Linked DNA regions of Arabidopsis thaliana. The protein of the gene in region 1 interacts with the protein of each later gene in a pairwise test. Each region holds a gene or a part of one and is shown on either strand. Other genes may lie near its edges.

Region 1 (3,837 bases):
CTGATTTATCTTTTCCAGAATAATTTTACTAACATAAGTTCTTTTTAGTGTTAAGTGATGCTTGCTTGACGCTGCGTGCTCCGAATTTTTGTTCTCTCTCATTTGCCTTTTTTTTGTTCGTAAATTTTTTTTTATTGCATTTTCTCACTTTTTAGTCCTTTCGGAGAAAGATCAAAAGACATTATAGGTCAAGTATTGATTTACAAAGATAAATACATGAATGAGGGTGGTTATGTAGATGTCGATTACTACTCACTATCTCATGACTAATCATCTTGAAAGATCAAAGATCAAACCAAGCTTGCTTGAAAATTCAAAAGCATACGATTTGGGGTCCCATTTGTTGGAAATATTACAGTTAACATGTATTCGTCGATACATCTTCCCTCAAAACATCCATTGCAAGGACTCTCTTAGCTAATAATACTACTCCTAAGGCATTTTACCATTGTTCCAAAAACAAAACTTGAAAAGAAATGAGCTTATGGAGTAAACACTCACGGCTTTGGAGAATGTGACATAGTTGATTCAAGCCTGCGTAACCAGTTAACGTATTGATCCTGCTCCTTCTTGTTCAGGTGACACAAAAGGAAATTAGTTAAGCCTTCACTGACCCCCTTAGATATTAGGTATTGCTCCAGTGCACTGTGTAGTTTGGGATCTACTTGGCTAAAGAAACAAAGAAAATAACACTGGTCATTGAAATCAAACATATGCAGACACATGAACCTCTAATAGTCTACTTCTTTTTCAATATATATAGAACAATTACTCCAGGGAAAGAACAATGGGAAGTGTACCCAATGCTTTGAGGTTTGGATGAAGTAAAACAGATATGATTCAAGTAACTTAAACAAAATGTTGAGAGATTATCATTTATGAGCTTACTTCACCTGAAAAAATGGTCTCCATAAGTGGAAGAAGGAGCAGAAACAAAAGAGCGGATAAAGTAGGCGCTCTCGATGTCGAAATGAGAAGATCCAGATCCTGATTCGTAAACCCGGCAATGAAACTGCAAGATAGAGCTGAGACCAGGCTTTTTGATACAAACTTTGGCATGAGCTTCCCTAGGAAACACTAAATCATCTTCTAGTTCTATAGGTTCTGGTTGCAATAAAGCAGAGACCACAACCTTCTCGCCTGAATCAAACTGTCTCTTCAGAACAATATCTTGGCTTTCCGGTGAATCCCAATCCAATTTGAAATCTCCTAGAGAACCGGTCTCAACGCCCTGTGGGGTTCAAGCACAAAGCAAAATCATAAAGGTAGAATGTAAGTACTTAAAATCCTAGGGTTTATGAGATCCAACATCAAATTCAAATTCGCCCATCTGGTAAATCACTCTAATGTTCATCAATTCAGAAAAATGAAATTGAAACTGACAGAGTCTGATCGAACTAATGTTGAGCACCATTGATCTTAAAACTCAATTGAGAGATTACTGAGAGCAACGAAGAAGAAGAAGGAAAGAGGAAGACAACAATTTACCTGGAAACGAGGATGGGAGATTTCGTGACGAATTTCACTTTGGAGGATCTTCAACAAATCACCATTTTCAATAGCCTTCAAGCCTCGTTTCAGAAGCGGATTCAACTTCCTCATCTCTCTCTTTTCCCTAAAATTGGCTTCTCTCAATCTACGGAGCACAAAAACTAAAGTAGACTGAATCATGATCCGGTTCGGTTTAATTCGGTTTATTTCCGTAGCAATTTCAGTAGACCGGAATTTAAACGGTTAAACCGAATTCTCAGTTACGTAATCATGCAATTTAACAATTACACAGAACCAATCAATCATCAGCTGCACACCAAACTTTTATTTCCCTTGAAGATCAAGGCTTCTCTCAATACATAGTTTCATTCAAAGGGTGATTTTTTGTATTAATAAACAAAAAATGAAGATAGAATTCAGATTTCAGATAGAGTTTCATTATCCATTTTAGTTCAAGCATCTATAACCAGACAATGAAAGAGAATCAACCATATGATGATGTCACGTCACACACACTCCTTATAAACTATATGTGTAGCTTCTAAGGAAACCAAAAACATATAGATCAAAACAAAAAAAACAAACAAATTATGAATTCAGAATGGGAAATGGATTCTGATAGAAAGAAAACATTTTTCAAATGCACAAAGTGGCAATTCGAGGACACACTTGATCCTATTAACTGTCCTTTCCACTATTTCTGCGACAGCATCTATGCCGGCGACTACCCTCAAATCACCGACGTTCTAGTTTTCTTCTTCGTTACGGTTACTTATTTGACGACGCTAATTGTTGTCGTAAGGAAGGTAATATCAAGAAGAAGAAGAGAAAATGATGATGATGGTGATGATGACAAAGCAAGAAGGTACTTACTTCCTTCTGGTCCAATCTCTCTTCCTTTGATCATCTTGATTCTTGCAAAAGGTCAAAGGATCAATACCCTTTTCCCAATTTCCATCTTTGGACCTGCGATACTACAGCTTGTTCAGCTCTCAGTGCTTTTATTTGAGAACAATATCGAAAAAGAAGCGAGTTTTGTCTTCTTCGAAGCCTCTACTATCTCTGGTATTCTCCACGCTAGTCTTTACTTAGACGCTGTGATTCTCCCCTATTATACAGGATTCGATGCTCTGGTCACATCTACTTTCTCTGGAGTCTGCAAGTCTTGTATATGCAGGAAAGAGCCATTAATAGTGGGAGGGAAGATTGTCTCTTACCGAGGATGGTCTAGTACAACGTTCTTGGTGGTTGGTGTTTTGTTTTTGAGGATTATATGCAAGTTATGCAAAGAAGAAGGAATAAATAAAAGAGTTTTGGTGGTTAAAAATGTTGTGCAAGGACTGACATTGCTTGTTCTTATAAGAGATTGTGTGTACTTGGCCGTTATGTCTCCTGTTGAAGAGCCTATCTTGTTTAGGGTTTTTGTGTTTGGTTTTCTTCTTCTGTTGATATGTGTTTATGTAATCACAAAAGTATGTTGTTTGGTTAGTCGGAGACAGAGTAAGAAGACATCAGACACATGAAATTTGAAACAAAAAGGAAAAATCAGAGGCAAGATGAAGTAAATGTAAATGATTGCTTAATGATGAGTTTATATTGGATGTGATGATGAAATGGTAAAACTTAAACATTACTTCTATATCTATTTATATTTATCCTTATTGTAAATAGTTAAATCAAAACAGTGAGAAGTAGTAGTGTCAAGATGACGCAAGATAGTGGTTACAGTTTTAAACAAGAAGAAATAGAAAAGTGGTGTAACACTTGCTAATTTGCTAGATATTCCATTAGGAAATTGCTTTTGAAAGCCTTCTGAGTTGGTTCATCACTTTACCCGAACAAAAAAATGACTTTTTACTTCTACTAGGCATAAATAAGTCTTGGCTTTTTAATTCAATATATTGGTTATGTTAATGTTGAACAAGATTATATTACAGCTAGTATATATACTGCGATGCAATGTTAAATTTTAGATTTAAACTTTGTTAAAGAAGATTAACCTTAAGAAAATAAAATTCCTAGATTTATAAATATATGACTAACCATACATACATACATATTCAAGTTCAGAAGTCATAGAATTATATCAATAATTAGGTGGTACCACTGTACTATCTTGTATTGTTATTTGTAGCATTGGATAGTTTTACGAAGTTTGTACTTATACATAATGATTAATGAGATCGTCGATCTCTGGTATGCTATTCCGATGACTAATTTATCCCCAAGAACCTACGAACAGAGATTATTGTTACATGAGTTCTCATTGATCATGGGTGTACTTTTATTGATATTAATTGATGAGATTCTAGATCGAACCTCACTTAAACATAAAACATACGAGAA
Region 2 (3,856 bases), on another chromosome or scaffold:
ATGTATAACACATATAGCTTTAAATCTAGAGTATAATAAAAAATAAATTTTAATGGAAATATAGTAATAATAAATAAAAGATACTAAATTTCAAATATTCAATGGTTCCGTAGAATAATGTTTTTTAATTACTTGATAAATTATTTATACAAAATTAATTAGGTGATAGTTCCTCAGTATTCCTCAAAAATTAAAAGCCACCCAATATATTTTTGTAAAACATTATGCATTACTAAATAAAATTTTATTTTTTAATTAAAAAGATATAATGAGAATCAAAATTTCTTCTTCTCATCTTTGTTTGTTTCTTTGGTCATTTTTAAGAGCTAAATCATCTTATCATTTGTATTTAAATTGTTTTTTCTGCATATATGATTCGAATTTATCAAAAACAAAATGTTGAAGATGCATCCAAAATAATTGAGAAGGGATTAAGTGATATTATTACCCAGGTCTAGTCGACTTAAATGATTTTCAAAAAATATGATGATCTGTTGTTCTTACAAACTCAGATTCCTAGCTAGTGTAGAGCTTCCAGAGTTCTCATTGTGTCTTGTTTGTGTCTTTACGAGAGGTTTGGAACAAATTTCTTGATCTTATCGTTAGGTTTGATCCCACACGCGAAGCAATATAAAGATTGTGATTTTTAGTATTGTGCAAGAATTCACAAAACACATAAAAATATCTTGTGATGATCAACAAGACTAGTAAACAAGTCTATCAACCTTACATGTAGAAGTGCACTGGTCGAATAACGAGGATGAGATTTGTAGGTCAAAACTGTAATTGATGGTAAATAAACATTGGCGATCATGATGTTATAAGGGGTATCAAAACCAAACTTAATTGAGTGTTTAGCAATGTGGCATCACAGTACCATTGGGGGAATCAGTATTATATTTTACTTTGTTACTGAGAAAATATTCAAATATTGGTTAGTAGATATAGACTAAAATAGTTACCGAGGAATAGATATTATTAAGATGTGACCACACTTTCTCATGAACTTTTGTAGCAAGTTCATAGAAAAACATGTGTAAAAGAAACATGGTGTTGCTATTTAGCCGCATATATATGAGGGCTTAATCTCGTCGCTATTTAACAATAGAAATAGTCGACGTCATTTGTTTCTACCAAGGGACTTAAACTTGTCCTTTGTCAATGCGTAGTTTTGTGGCTTCGGATTTTAAAAAATTGTTTCTGAATTTATATAGATCTAACAACCTTTGTAAGATTAATGCTTTAGATACTAATATACTATCAATGAAAAAGAGTATTTACTTTGTTTTCACATTTATAGGAAAAAATTAGAAATCTTCATTTACAAAACGACATTCGTAGTTTGAGGTTATTACTTTTTGGCGAAAAGAAAAGAAAAGTTTGAGGTTATTACTAACGATGCCAACTATCAAAACAAAATTTATGTTAGTAACCAATTATGTGGGTGTTTGGTTGAGTAGTAACTTTCCTTTTTACTGTTGTTCGGCAGTAGCTATAAACTTTTTGTTGTATGATTACATGTGTTGGTTGTAGATGTAGAGTTTGATTGGTAAAGTTAATTAAATATTGAGGATTCAAAATTTAAGTTTATCAATTTAAAATTATAACATAATATTAAATGAGATAACAAATAAATAATAAATAGTAAATTTCATATGTATAACACATTGTTTGGTCAATTTTATAATTTTTTTTACCTCAAAAATATGATAAGATTTTTTTGTTGTCTTATGTTTAAAGTACAACGTACTCATATAATCTTATGCTTGTGAAAGTTAAAAATAATTTCTGTCCCGCTTGATGATTATGTCATTTTATTCTACAAATTTTTTTTGGCAACCGATATTAATTAGAATTCAAAGAGTTAATCCGAGAGATATTGTTTATATATATGGTATGATGCAATTCGGTATAATTCTTTCATACCAAATTATCCGTTTTTACATTTACACTACAAAAAATTAAAAATAAAGAAAAGTTTGTGAATTCCTTCTTGTCATTCCAAAATTTATCTTTTTTTTCCTAATTTTTCGGTATAATTCTAATTACTCTATGATCAAAACCATAAATAAAGATAAAACTGAACAAACACAAAAACTTGGATCCAAAAATACGGTTGGGACATTACCACATTTATGGCGGCATTCAATTCAATTGATTGCCACGCATTTTTCCAAAAGAATATACCCTATATAAAAAAATCCATTAAATATTATCTTTAACACATAAATGAAATCTTTCTCCTACATCCTACATAATCTGTGAATCTTCTTTCCATGTTTACACTGTTATAAAGCAACTTCAACTAATCCCGTTTTAAATATAAGCTATCTACTCTCTCTTAGCCATAATGGGAAACGAAGCAGCACTAAGATCATCAATGGTAGGTCTTGCAGTGGTGATGGTAGTTGTATGGTTATGGACACAGTCTTTAAAGAAGACGGTTGTTACTTACGCCGTCGGTATTTCTCTTATTGGCGGCATACTTTTGCCGGATTGGGACTTCTTTGATCGGAGTTTCTCTCGGTGGGGCTATCCTGTCACCGCCGAGGAAAGATCAGCCGCTCTCGCCCGCAAATCTCATCCTTCAAGGTTACTTGTTTATCTTATCTCAATATCAAACTAGTTGTTTTATCATATCATTATATATTAATCTTTGAATTATTAGATCTAAATTTTGGTTTAGCTTTATTGCCTTAAAACCTATTGGATAAACATAAATCATACATACAATTTTTTTTTTGTCAACCGATATTAATTTGGATTCAAAAGAGCGAATCTCAAACCATACATACAATGTTAGGTTCCATTTGCAATGTATGTATTATTGTATATCTACGAATTAGGTGTACAAGTTATGATTGAATTTGTTTATTTTCGTGAATATTTTCTATTGATTTTAATTGTTAGATCCAAATTTTGGTTTGGTTTACTGGCCTAATTAATGGATAATGGATACATCTTTGGACCAAGTAATGCAGGTTTAGAGTGTACCCTATGAGGATGGTTTTATACGGCACGGTCTATGGATATGCAGTGTATAGGTGGTGGATGTTCGTATCAAATTATTGAAGCCATATTGTATTTACTTGGTCCATCTTTTTTATGGTTTAGTGTTGTTGATTAACAAAATATTTAGCTTCGTTTTATTTTAACTTTGTAGAACATGTAAGACTACCAGATTACATATTGGTGTGTCCACATAAGATGGACAAAAATTGTCAAATGGATTGTGGTATACAAAATTGACCCAAAACAAAACTCCTAGAGACTCTAAATGAGCATTCTACCACCAAATTCTGTCCCACATCAGAAAGATCTTTAGGTTAAAAGTGAATGTCTCTAGGTTGTTTCGCAAGAAGGAGCAGGAGGGGGAGGAGGAACACCGAAGACCCAATCTAGTACGTTCAAGTATTTTGATCGAAATACGTCTCTTTCTTGTGCGTAACAATGCATTATAATGGCTGTCGAAACGCTGAACACAACCACATCCGCTCTTCTTAAACTCTTGGGCGGTCGAATGTATCCTGCCTCTGTCATGCAAGTAAAGAAGCTCTCTATCGCCCTCGCTAAGCAGTATAGTGATATCTCTATCCTTCTGCTTTTCTTCTCAATAGCTAAAGCCAGACCTGTTGGGAACTGCAGGAGAAGCCTAACGTTAGGTATTATATTAACAATGATATGTGATGAGAATGGCTTTCGTTTGTACTGTTGCTATGGCCACAAGCGGTATGTTGCATGTCTCAAAAGTGCGGAATAGTAGACAAGTCCAAGCCCTATTTTACATCATTATAGAGATGGTCTAAGTTCCAACTTCAAGTGAGAACAAAACAAAAATCGATAAGAGCCTTCCAAG
Region 3 (4,227 bases), about 11 Mb from region 1:
ACGACAATCTCATCAATTTGAGATTGATTCTAGAAAAGGAAAGAAATGGGTTCACTATTTGGTTATTAACTTTCTCATCATTCTTGGAAATTCATCGGTTTCCAAAGCATTGTGGAAATTCATTTTCTCATCATTCTTTTTAATATTTGGTTATAAATGTGTGAATGTGTGTTTGAATCAATCTCTTGTATACGTTTAGTCTAGGTTGAACAATGTTTTTTTTTAATATTCCTCATTTGTTTTGCGATCTCTGTTTGTAACACCGTTTTTGGAAGTGTCTTGGAGGGAAAACATGGAGAAGCACCTCCTCCTCTTGGAGAAGCAATCTCGACTCCTGGAGGAGCAAAGTATTCTCCTGAAGAATCAAGCTCAAACTCTGGCCTATCAGTCTTCTTTCTAGAAGATCTTCGTGAACACCTTTGTAGCCGTGTGCCTTGGTGAATTTGCATCCATAGTGGTGCAGTATGATATCGTTCCCAAACCTTAGACGAATCCAAAAAATCAGTGAAAAGATGGAAGAGAAGATAAAGAAGATTAAGGTTCTTTGTAGGCTCTTTTCTAGGGTTCTTGAGTGTTCGATTGTGTATCCCTTTCTCGATGGCGGCTCATTCCTTTAGGGACGTGGTCTCCTTTCTCTACACACCAACAGTTATTCTAAATCATGCAAACCTCGTAAACGTTTTAAAAAAATCTAACATATTAATAAACTGTAAAGAGAGATAGAATTTCTCTTTTGATTTTAAGAACTCAATAATCAAATGTGATAAAATAGAACTAAAAGTCATCATATAGCTTAAGCCCCCCATACATCATATCCTCACAATGCCTAACAAAAGGAAGAATCTTCCCCGAGTTAGTTCCCCAGTCAGCTTCACATCCATGCGAAGGAGGAGTATGGTAACATGGCTCCATCGACTTGGATCGAACACACGGTGGATTAGGAGTGGTGAAATTTACTGGCTGATAAAGTAACCATGGCTTTAATCCTCCAAGACTGTATGAAACATATCCAAATGTAGACCATCCGCTTGTGACAATGTTATCGGTTAAACTCAAAAGATACATCTCAGCAAGCGCCTTTTGGTCGTGACTTTTCTTGTCTGTTTGCTGCACTCTTTCTGCACTTGGCTGATAAACTTCGATAATCTCTCCTGTAGAACTTGGCCTCGCTAAAAACATGTTAGTTAAGTTGACAGAGTACTCTGGATAGAGAGATGCGACAAGAACTACTTTAAGCTTTGGTGGTTTAGATATATTGACTTTTGATTCTTCTTCAAATTCAGGCAACAGTTTCTCTCTTTGTGTACATGCTACGACTTGGTCCATGACATGTTTGAAATATCCAGAAGGTTTTCCGAAAACCCTTATTTGAATCCCAAGTCTCTCGTCTGCATTGGACAAGTGAGCATCGTAGTACTTAGTGACCATATCCCAAACTTCATTTGTAGGGTGAAAAAGATACCGAGCCAAATGGTGAAAGACGGTTTCTTTCTGCGGGAATAGCTTAACTAGTTTGGTTTGGAAAGTTGGATTCAGCCATAAAGATGGAACAAAGTAAGCATTGGTTTGAATAATTAACCATGGGACTTTGTCGATAAAACTTTGATCCTTTTGGCAGAAGAACAGCTTATCACTATCCCTAGAATCATGGATGTTATGGAGATATAGATGTGGCGGAATTGAAGTCGAGTTGATGGCATGATTTTCCAACATTGTACCGTAACAACGAGGGTATTCCTTATTGTAGCCATAAGCATAAGTATAATTCAGCATTGGAAAGTCAAGCGGAAGCAACCATGAAGTACCTGGAAATGGCTCACATAAGAGATCACTAACATCCTTGCGGTTGTCAACAAGAATGATTCTCTCAGTCAAGATAGCGTAGAGAAACACGGAAGCAAGAGTAATTAATCTGTTTCCAAGCCCGTCCCTAGCTAGCCATACAATGTATCTGCATTCACCATTTGATTCGCTTGCATAGTACTCATCACGACTAAGCTTCTCTGTTGCTTCTTTGTAAGCCTTGGTATCCGGACCGCAACGTTTGTGAAGCATCTCATAGCTTCTAAGCTCAGAGACGAGATATTCCGAAGGCATGTATGGAGAAGGCTTGCGGTACAAGAAATATTTATGATACCTACTCAAGCAAGAACCTTCATCAAAATCCGCAGTTAAAAGCCCTCCTATAAGTTTATCCACCGGTCTTTCGGATTCCTTTATATCTATAACAAGAAAATGATATGAACTGAGGATTCATTGGGTTAACAATAAAACACAAGATATGGATAATTTTCTTACCTTTGGTTGTAGCATCAAGAAGTTGGTCGTTGAAGTATTTTGAGAATGATAGTATAATTAGTAAGCAACCAAAGACGACCGCGATCAGAATTTTCATCTTCAACCCCAAAGCCTTTGTTGGAGATATGAAATTTGTGTTAGTTGTTGACTTTCGTTTGATCGGTTATAAGTGTGAGATGATTCAAAAAGAGTTTACAACTTTTATATAGCTTGATTATAACTTCTATTATCAACCACAGATCATGTAAATAAGACTTCGAATATTTTAATGTGAATTGTTGAGTTGACTACACACGATCTCCGAACGTGATTCCAAATTTGTTTTGTTTATTGTTGAGTTACCAATAAAATTGTTTTTTGTTTTTGTTGTTAGAATTCCAAATTGTGATTTAGAAATAATTAACGAAAAAAATGTCAATAAGAGAGCTGTTGTGAATTAACGGGTGTTACAATATTGTAATCTTGGAATCTAAAGAAGTAGGGATTGTCTGGCACGTGGCGGAGCCAGCGTATCGATCCATCGGGGTCAAAAAAAAATTCTTTCTAAAACCGCATAAGTTATAAACTCAAGATTGAAGATTGAAACAAAGAAAAAAAATAAGAAAAAAGAAACTATAACGTTTTTAGAATACAAAAAATGTTAAATAATAGGTTAAAGTATATTAATGGGCTTAATTATAGTATATTTACTTTTAAAACAAAATATTATTGAGGTGAATTCTATATACAAGTACAATTACCTAAATACAATATAGTTGTTGGGCTTAACTATTAGAAGTCTTCTCAAGTAAATTGTTTTATAGGGGTCAATTTTCTTATTTGATTAGAGTCAATCTAACATATTAAATAAAACTTCAGCTAATTTTTTAAATTTAACCAGGGTCAATTGACCCATGTGACTCTATACTCCCTCCGCAGCATGCAAACTTGAATTAATATAGTGAAATATGCAACATTTTGTTACTGAACATATATTGAGATCTGTTTACATTCCCACTCTTCAAATATAATCACTTATTTTTTATCCATATAATGAATTAGATAAAGTCATGTGCATTGCTGAAACGATTTACCATAGTCAAATTCCTAAACTCGATTAACAAACGCTCAAAAAGATATTCCAAAACGATTGAACTGTAAGGCTCTAACATTACACGAATAGAACTATGGTTTGGTTTCCGCCTAGAACCTTTGACCAAGTCCATTATTACTCAACATATTTCTCATTTTTTTTAGTGAAAATTGCTTAGACTGACTCTAATCTTAATAGAAATAACTATTGTGACTCCCAATAATCGATGACTAACTATTATGACTCATATTTTAAGTTAAAAGACTATTTAACCTCAGTCAGTATTAAAACTATATTTTGATTAAAAAAAAAAAGAATTACTAATAAAAATAAATAAACAAATGTAAAAATAACAAAACTCAGAAATCCGGTTATGGAAACCACATTTCTATTTCTTATCAATTAAATTAATGTTGTCATAGCTTGTAAAGGAACGTACTAAGCAAATGGGCAAACTAAAAGTTAAGAACTTTAGTATGTAAAATTAAAAAGCCCTTCGCTCGTGTTTTCCAGTTCTTGTACACCGAAAAGTTAAGATCATGTTTTCGAGTAACACCGAAAAGTCTATTTCTTATCAATCCGTTGTAGTTCGTAAATCATTTTCCACATTTTATTTTTTATCAATTAAAGTAATATTGTCGTAGATTGTTTAAGAATGGCAGATTGTATGTTATCACTTTTGAATTATGAGGATTAGTAGGTTTTGGTGGGCTGTTTTCTGTGGTGATGTTATCGATTTTTTTTTTAAAGTTAAATTGAATCAAACCGATTTTAACATATAATCAAACCGGAAAGATTTTACTTGAGTAAAATTGCTTAGCTAATAAAACTCATGTAATAAAAAAATTAAAGATTTT
Region 4 (4,681 bases), on another chromosome or scaffold:
CTCTGTGAGGCAATTCGTCGAACACCTGGTGACTTACATCGAGATGTTTCTGCATAGCTTTTGCCCTCTTCCTTGGCCGGCGAGATGACCTGTTCCCACTCATGCTGAACAAATCTTCTTCGATCTCGTCTCGAGCTAGAGCAACCCAAAGCCTATGATTCTCGTTTGCAACCTCACCACCGCCTAATCCGGGTGATTCCGCCGGGATTCCTCTCTGCCTGTTCGATTTCGGCTCAATTCCTGCGCCTGATTTCTGATTCTTCACCTCCGAACCTCCTCCTCCGCCGCCACCGCAAACCTCCGCCGTGAACACGCCGTTTCCTTTCTTCGAACCACCATAAGCCTTCCTCGGACGAAGATTCCACGTCCTCTTCGCTTCCTCCTCCTCCGTTTCTTCTCTCTCCTTCACCGACACCGGCACTTCCTCTCTCGCGGGAGAAATCTCATCGGATTTCAGCTTCTTCAGGTTATCGTGCTCTGATGAGGGAGCAAAGGAGGAGAAAGAGAGACGCGGCTGACGACTTGACCGTGACGCCACGACACGGTTAGAAACAGCCACCGTCTCCGCCGATTGAGAAGCAGACCTCTCCGACTTGGAATTCGCAGACATTGGTATGAGATTATACCAAAACGTATTCACCTGAGAGATGATCAAAAACCCTAGAAGGTAAAAAGCAGAGAGGAGAGAGAGAGATGTAGGAGATTTACGGAAGCTGATGCATGCGTAAGTTTCTAATTATGTTTTTATTCATGGGGTGTTATTGGTTTATGATTTCAAAAGACTTTTAGTGTTTTAAAGTGTTATTTAGAATTTATTGTTATTCGATCACGATTTGTTAAAAGTATGTTATATTTTGTTGGCTAAAATAAATCATTAGTTAATTATTTTATATCCTGATATATCAACATCAATTATCATCCTTCTGATATGGGGATTAATATATGTTAACAATAAATCCAGAAAATTACGTTTAGATTTAGACATATAAATAAAGAGATCTTAAAGAAAAGAAGAGAAAAAAAAGAACCCGTAAAAAGCTTAAAAGACTACAACTGCTTAAGTCTATCAATGATGATCAATATATTCATGTAAGTGCTAAATAGGTTAATTTCTCTAGTGAATTCGATTTTGGACTAAAAATCAACAAATATTAGATCATCTAGTGAATTCGATTTCTCTAGGCCATCAAAGAATATTATTAGTTAGGTCCAAAGACCTAAATTTATTTTTGTGTATAAATTTAATAAAATAGAAATTTACATTTTGATATTTTTAATATTATTTTGGTGACAAAATATTTAGAAATTTTTTATATTTTTAAATATTCTTTTATTTTCATATATTTTTTATTTTATTTTACAAAAATTTAAAAAGAATAAAAATAAAAATAAGTTCATAAATATTAATTAGCAAGATATCTAATCTCCATTGCTTGTTTAAAATGTTATGTGGACGCGCAAATAGCTTCGTATAGATTATGTTACAAAAAGATTTCTAAAATTAACTATGTTTAAGTTCGTATTATTTTAGTTAAGGCCCATCAGAGAATATTAGTTAGGCCCAAAACAGTGACACTCACCGTTTTGGCATCTTCTACACATGAGCAAAACTAGACGCAACGCAATGATGGCGACTAAAACCTCAGAGCAAAAAACATGAACAACTTCTTCAATCCCAGTAGACCAAGCCCACGTCCATGGCCAAACAGGAAGAAGCAAACCGACAAATCTGCGATATTTCTTTGCTCCGTTTCTATACTTGTTGTGTTCTTCATCGTCGTCTTCTTCATCACTTACTCCGAGATGCCCAAGTCCTTGTTCTCAATCTCTGCATTTTCTGGATCCGTTCAATTCCCTCAGTGCAGATCCGAGATACTAACCCGAACTCTTCTAGGTCAGAAGTTTCTCTGGTACGCTCCTCACAGTGGATTCAGTAATCAGCTATCGGAATTTAAGAATGCGCTTCTTATGGCGGGAATTCTTAATCGGACCCTAATTATTCCTCCGATTCTGGATCATCACGCCGTTGCTCTCGGTAGTTGTCCTAAATTTAGGGTTTTGAGTCCCAGCGAGATACGAATCTCAGTTTGGAATCATTCAATTGAGCTTCTTAAGACTGACAGGTACAAAATCTCTTTTTTTTTTCGTAATGAGTTTTAGTAATTTGATCAATGTGGGTGACAAATGTTGGTGTTTATAGGTACGTTTCGATGGCTGATATTGTAGACATTTCGTCGCTGGTATCTTCTTCGGCTGTTCGAGTCATTGATTTTAGGTACTTTGCATCACTACAGTGTGGTGTTGACTTGGAGACTCTATGCACTGATGATTTAGCTGAACAGTCTCAGGCTTATGAGTCACTGAAACAGTGTGGCTATTTGTTATCTGGAGTTCGTGGTAATGTAGATAAATGTTTGTATGCTGTGGATGAAGATTGTAGAACCACTGTTTGGACTTATAAAAATGGAGAAGCTGATGGGAGATTAGATTCGTTCCAGCCTGATGAGAAGCTCAAGAAGAAAAAGAAATTGTCCAACGTGAGAAGGCGAAGAGATGTGTATAAGACTCTTGGACATGGTACAGAAGCTGAGTCTGCAGCTATTCTAGCATTTGGGAGCCTCTTCACAGCTCCATACAAAGGCTCAGAGCTGTATATCGATATCCATAAATCTCCAAAGATAAAATCTTTGGTTGAGAAGGTCGATTTCCTTCCTTTTGTTCGAGAGATAATGATCGCGGGAAAGAAATTTGCTTCAGAAACCATAAAGGCGCCGTTTCTTTGTGCACAACTTAGATTACTAGATGGCCAGTTCAAGAATCATCGGGAGAGCACTTTTACGGGTTTATATCAGAAGTTGGAAGCTTTGAGCGTTAAGAATCCTGGTCTAATTAATGTGTTTGTAATGACAGACCTTCCTGAATTTAACTGGACCGGAACTTACTTGGGTGATTTGTCTAAGAACTCTACAAATTTCAAGCTCCACTTTATAGGGGAACAAGATGAATTCTTAGCGCGAACAGAGCATGAACTTGATTCAGCGAGTCACGGCCAGAAATTTGGGTCTATTCCGATGAGTCTTGATAGTATAAAAAAGATGCAGACCCATTGTTACCCTCATGGAGGATCCAATGTGCAGCTTTACATAGAGGAAGCTGTTTGTAGCTGTGCTTCACTGGGTTTTGTTGGTACTCCAGGGTCTACAATAGCTGATAGTGTAGAGATGATGAGGAAATACAATGCGTGTAGTAGTAGTTGAACTCAGACTGCATTTCTATTGGATTCATCTGGTGGATGAGCCAATGTGTAGTGATTTTATTAAGTTTTGCCGGTCTTTGTATAGAGATGGATAGAGATAGATGATAGATCTGTCATCTGTCTCCACTTGAAGTTATTGGTGATGAAAACAGGCTCTTAAATTGTTTTGTGTTGTTAAGTTATTTGGGAAACTATCTAAGTTTCTTATTAATAGATGAAGCTACTTGGTTCCTTTCTGATTATTCACACACAACAATGGAAGAGTAAAGGTTGCGTGGGATGGTTGCTTAGTAAAGGTTTTGTGAGTTCTGTAGATGTCTCTAGTGGTCGACAAGATTTGTAATTGTTGTACCAATGTCTTTAAACCGGCTATTGAATAAGAAATTTTGTACCAAATAAATCTAGTGAAAGAGGGTTGGTTGAGAAGAAATGTAATTATATTAAACCGGAAATGAAATTTTACGTCGATGTGTATTTTGTGACCAATGAGATCTCTCCACGTAAACAGATTCCACGTGCAGCTTCAGGCCGATTTAAGCGAATTTAATCTGTCGTTTTGTTGGGTTCCCGTCGGTGACATCCACCGCGAACATTTCGACCGGAGTTTTGAGAGAGCTCAGAGTGTTTCGAGTGTGTTATTTGGATCTGCGATCTGATCGTCTCGCATCGACGTGAAAGGTTTTCTAATCCAATTGGTTCTGTGGAAATTTGGATTCGGAGGTTTTTGTTTGGAAGATCTTTCTGCGGTTTTCACCGCCATGGCTGCTCCGTTTTTCTCTACTCCATTTCAGCCTTATGTCTATCAGGTTTGTCTTCTATCTTCGTTCTCTTCTCGCCTCTTAGATTCGTATTCTTGTCTGTCACTATCGAGAAGGCTAGTGTTCGAATATACTTCTTCGCGAGTATTTTAGGATCCTTTCTCATGTAGGTGTTGAGTAATGTGATGTGTACTTACATCTAATTCAGTGATAATGCTAATAAGCTATTTCCTGGGTGAGAAATTGATCTCTTGAATGTGTCTGTGGGAGTATGAATCTCACAAGTGGTTATATGATGCAGAGTCAAGAAGATACGATCACACCTTTCCAAATTTTGGGTGGTGAAGCACAGGTTGTTCAGGTAGGTCGACATTTTATTTTGTAGTCTGGGCATTTTGTGTTTATGTGATTGACATATATACTCAAGCATTTGATTGTTTTTTTGACAGATAATGTTAAAACCACAAGAGAAGGTCATTGCTAAGCCTGGTAATTTCCATATTATGATTCCTCATTAAGTTTTGTAAGATCTGTTGGGTTGGATTGTATATGTTAACTGATTATATATGGTTCTTTAGGTTCAATGTGCTACATGTCTGGGTCCATTGAGATGGATAATACTTATACCCCTGAACAAGAAGTTGGAGTTGTACAATGGATTTTAGGA

What was found.
Region 2: the proteins of AT2G41610 (region 1) and AT1G34640 interact in a protein complementation assay, tested with the Arabidopsis thaliana proteins (one large-scale study listed by BioGRID).
Region 3: the proteins of AT2G41610 (region 1) and FUT10 interact in a protein complementation assay, tested with the Arabidopsis thaliana proteins (one large-scale study listed by BioGRID).
Region 4: the proteins of AT2G41610 (region 1) and AT4G17430 interact in a protein complementation assay, tested with the Arabidopsis thaliana proteins (one large-scale study listed by BioGRID).

What each region holds. Positions count from the first base shown.
Region 1 is NC_003071.7:17,345,100-17,348,936, forward strand, and holds AT2G41610 (uncharacterized protein), read left to right. Parts: upstream 1-2,057; 5' UTR 2,058-2,081; coding exon 2,082-3,014; 3' UTR 3,015-3,140; downstream 3,141-3,837. Other genes in the region: AT2G41600 (Mitochondrial glycoprotein family protein), read right to left, coding at 498-669, 894-1,231, 1,489-1,671.
Region 2 is NC_003070.9:12,686,922-12,690,777, reverse strand, and holds AT1G34640 (peptidase), read left to right. Parts: upstream 1-2,234; 5' UTR 2,235-2,350; coding exon 2,351-2,592; intron 2,593-2,981; coding exon 2,982-3,072; 3' UTR 3,073-3,226; downstream 3,227-3,856. Other genes in the region: AT1G34630 (uncharacterized protein), read right to left, coding at 3,343-3,639, 3,710-3,776.
Region 3 is NC_003071.7:6,687,366-6,691,592, forward strand, and holds FUT10 (fucosyltransferase 10), read right to left. Parts: upstream 2,455-4,227; 5' UTR 2,396-2,454; coding exon 2,299-2,395; intron 2,223-2,298; coding exon 775-2,222; 3' UTR 757-774; downstream 1-756. UniProt on the Arabidopsis thaliana protein: May be involved in cell wall biosynthesis. May act as a fucosyltransferase.
Region 4 is NC_003075.7:9,723,777-9,728,457, reverse strand, and holds AT4G17430 (O-fucosyltransferase family protein), read left to right. Parts: upstream 1-1,623; 5' UTR 1,624-1,656; coding exon 1,657-2,123; intron 2,124-2,200; coding exon 2,201-3,257; 3' UTR 3,258-3,748; downstream 3,749-4,681. Other genes in the region: AT4G17440 (chromogranin (DUF1639)), read right to left, coding at 38-610; AT4G17420 (Tryptophan RNA-binding attenuator protein-like protein), read left to right, coding at 4,015-4,062, 4,316-4,375, 4,464-4,503, 4,593-4,681.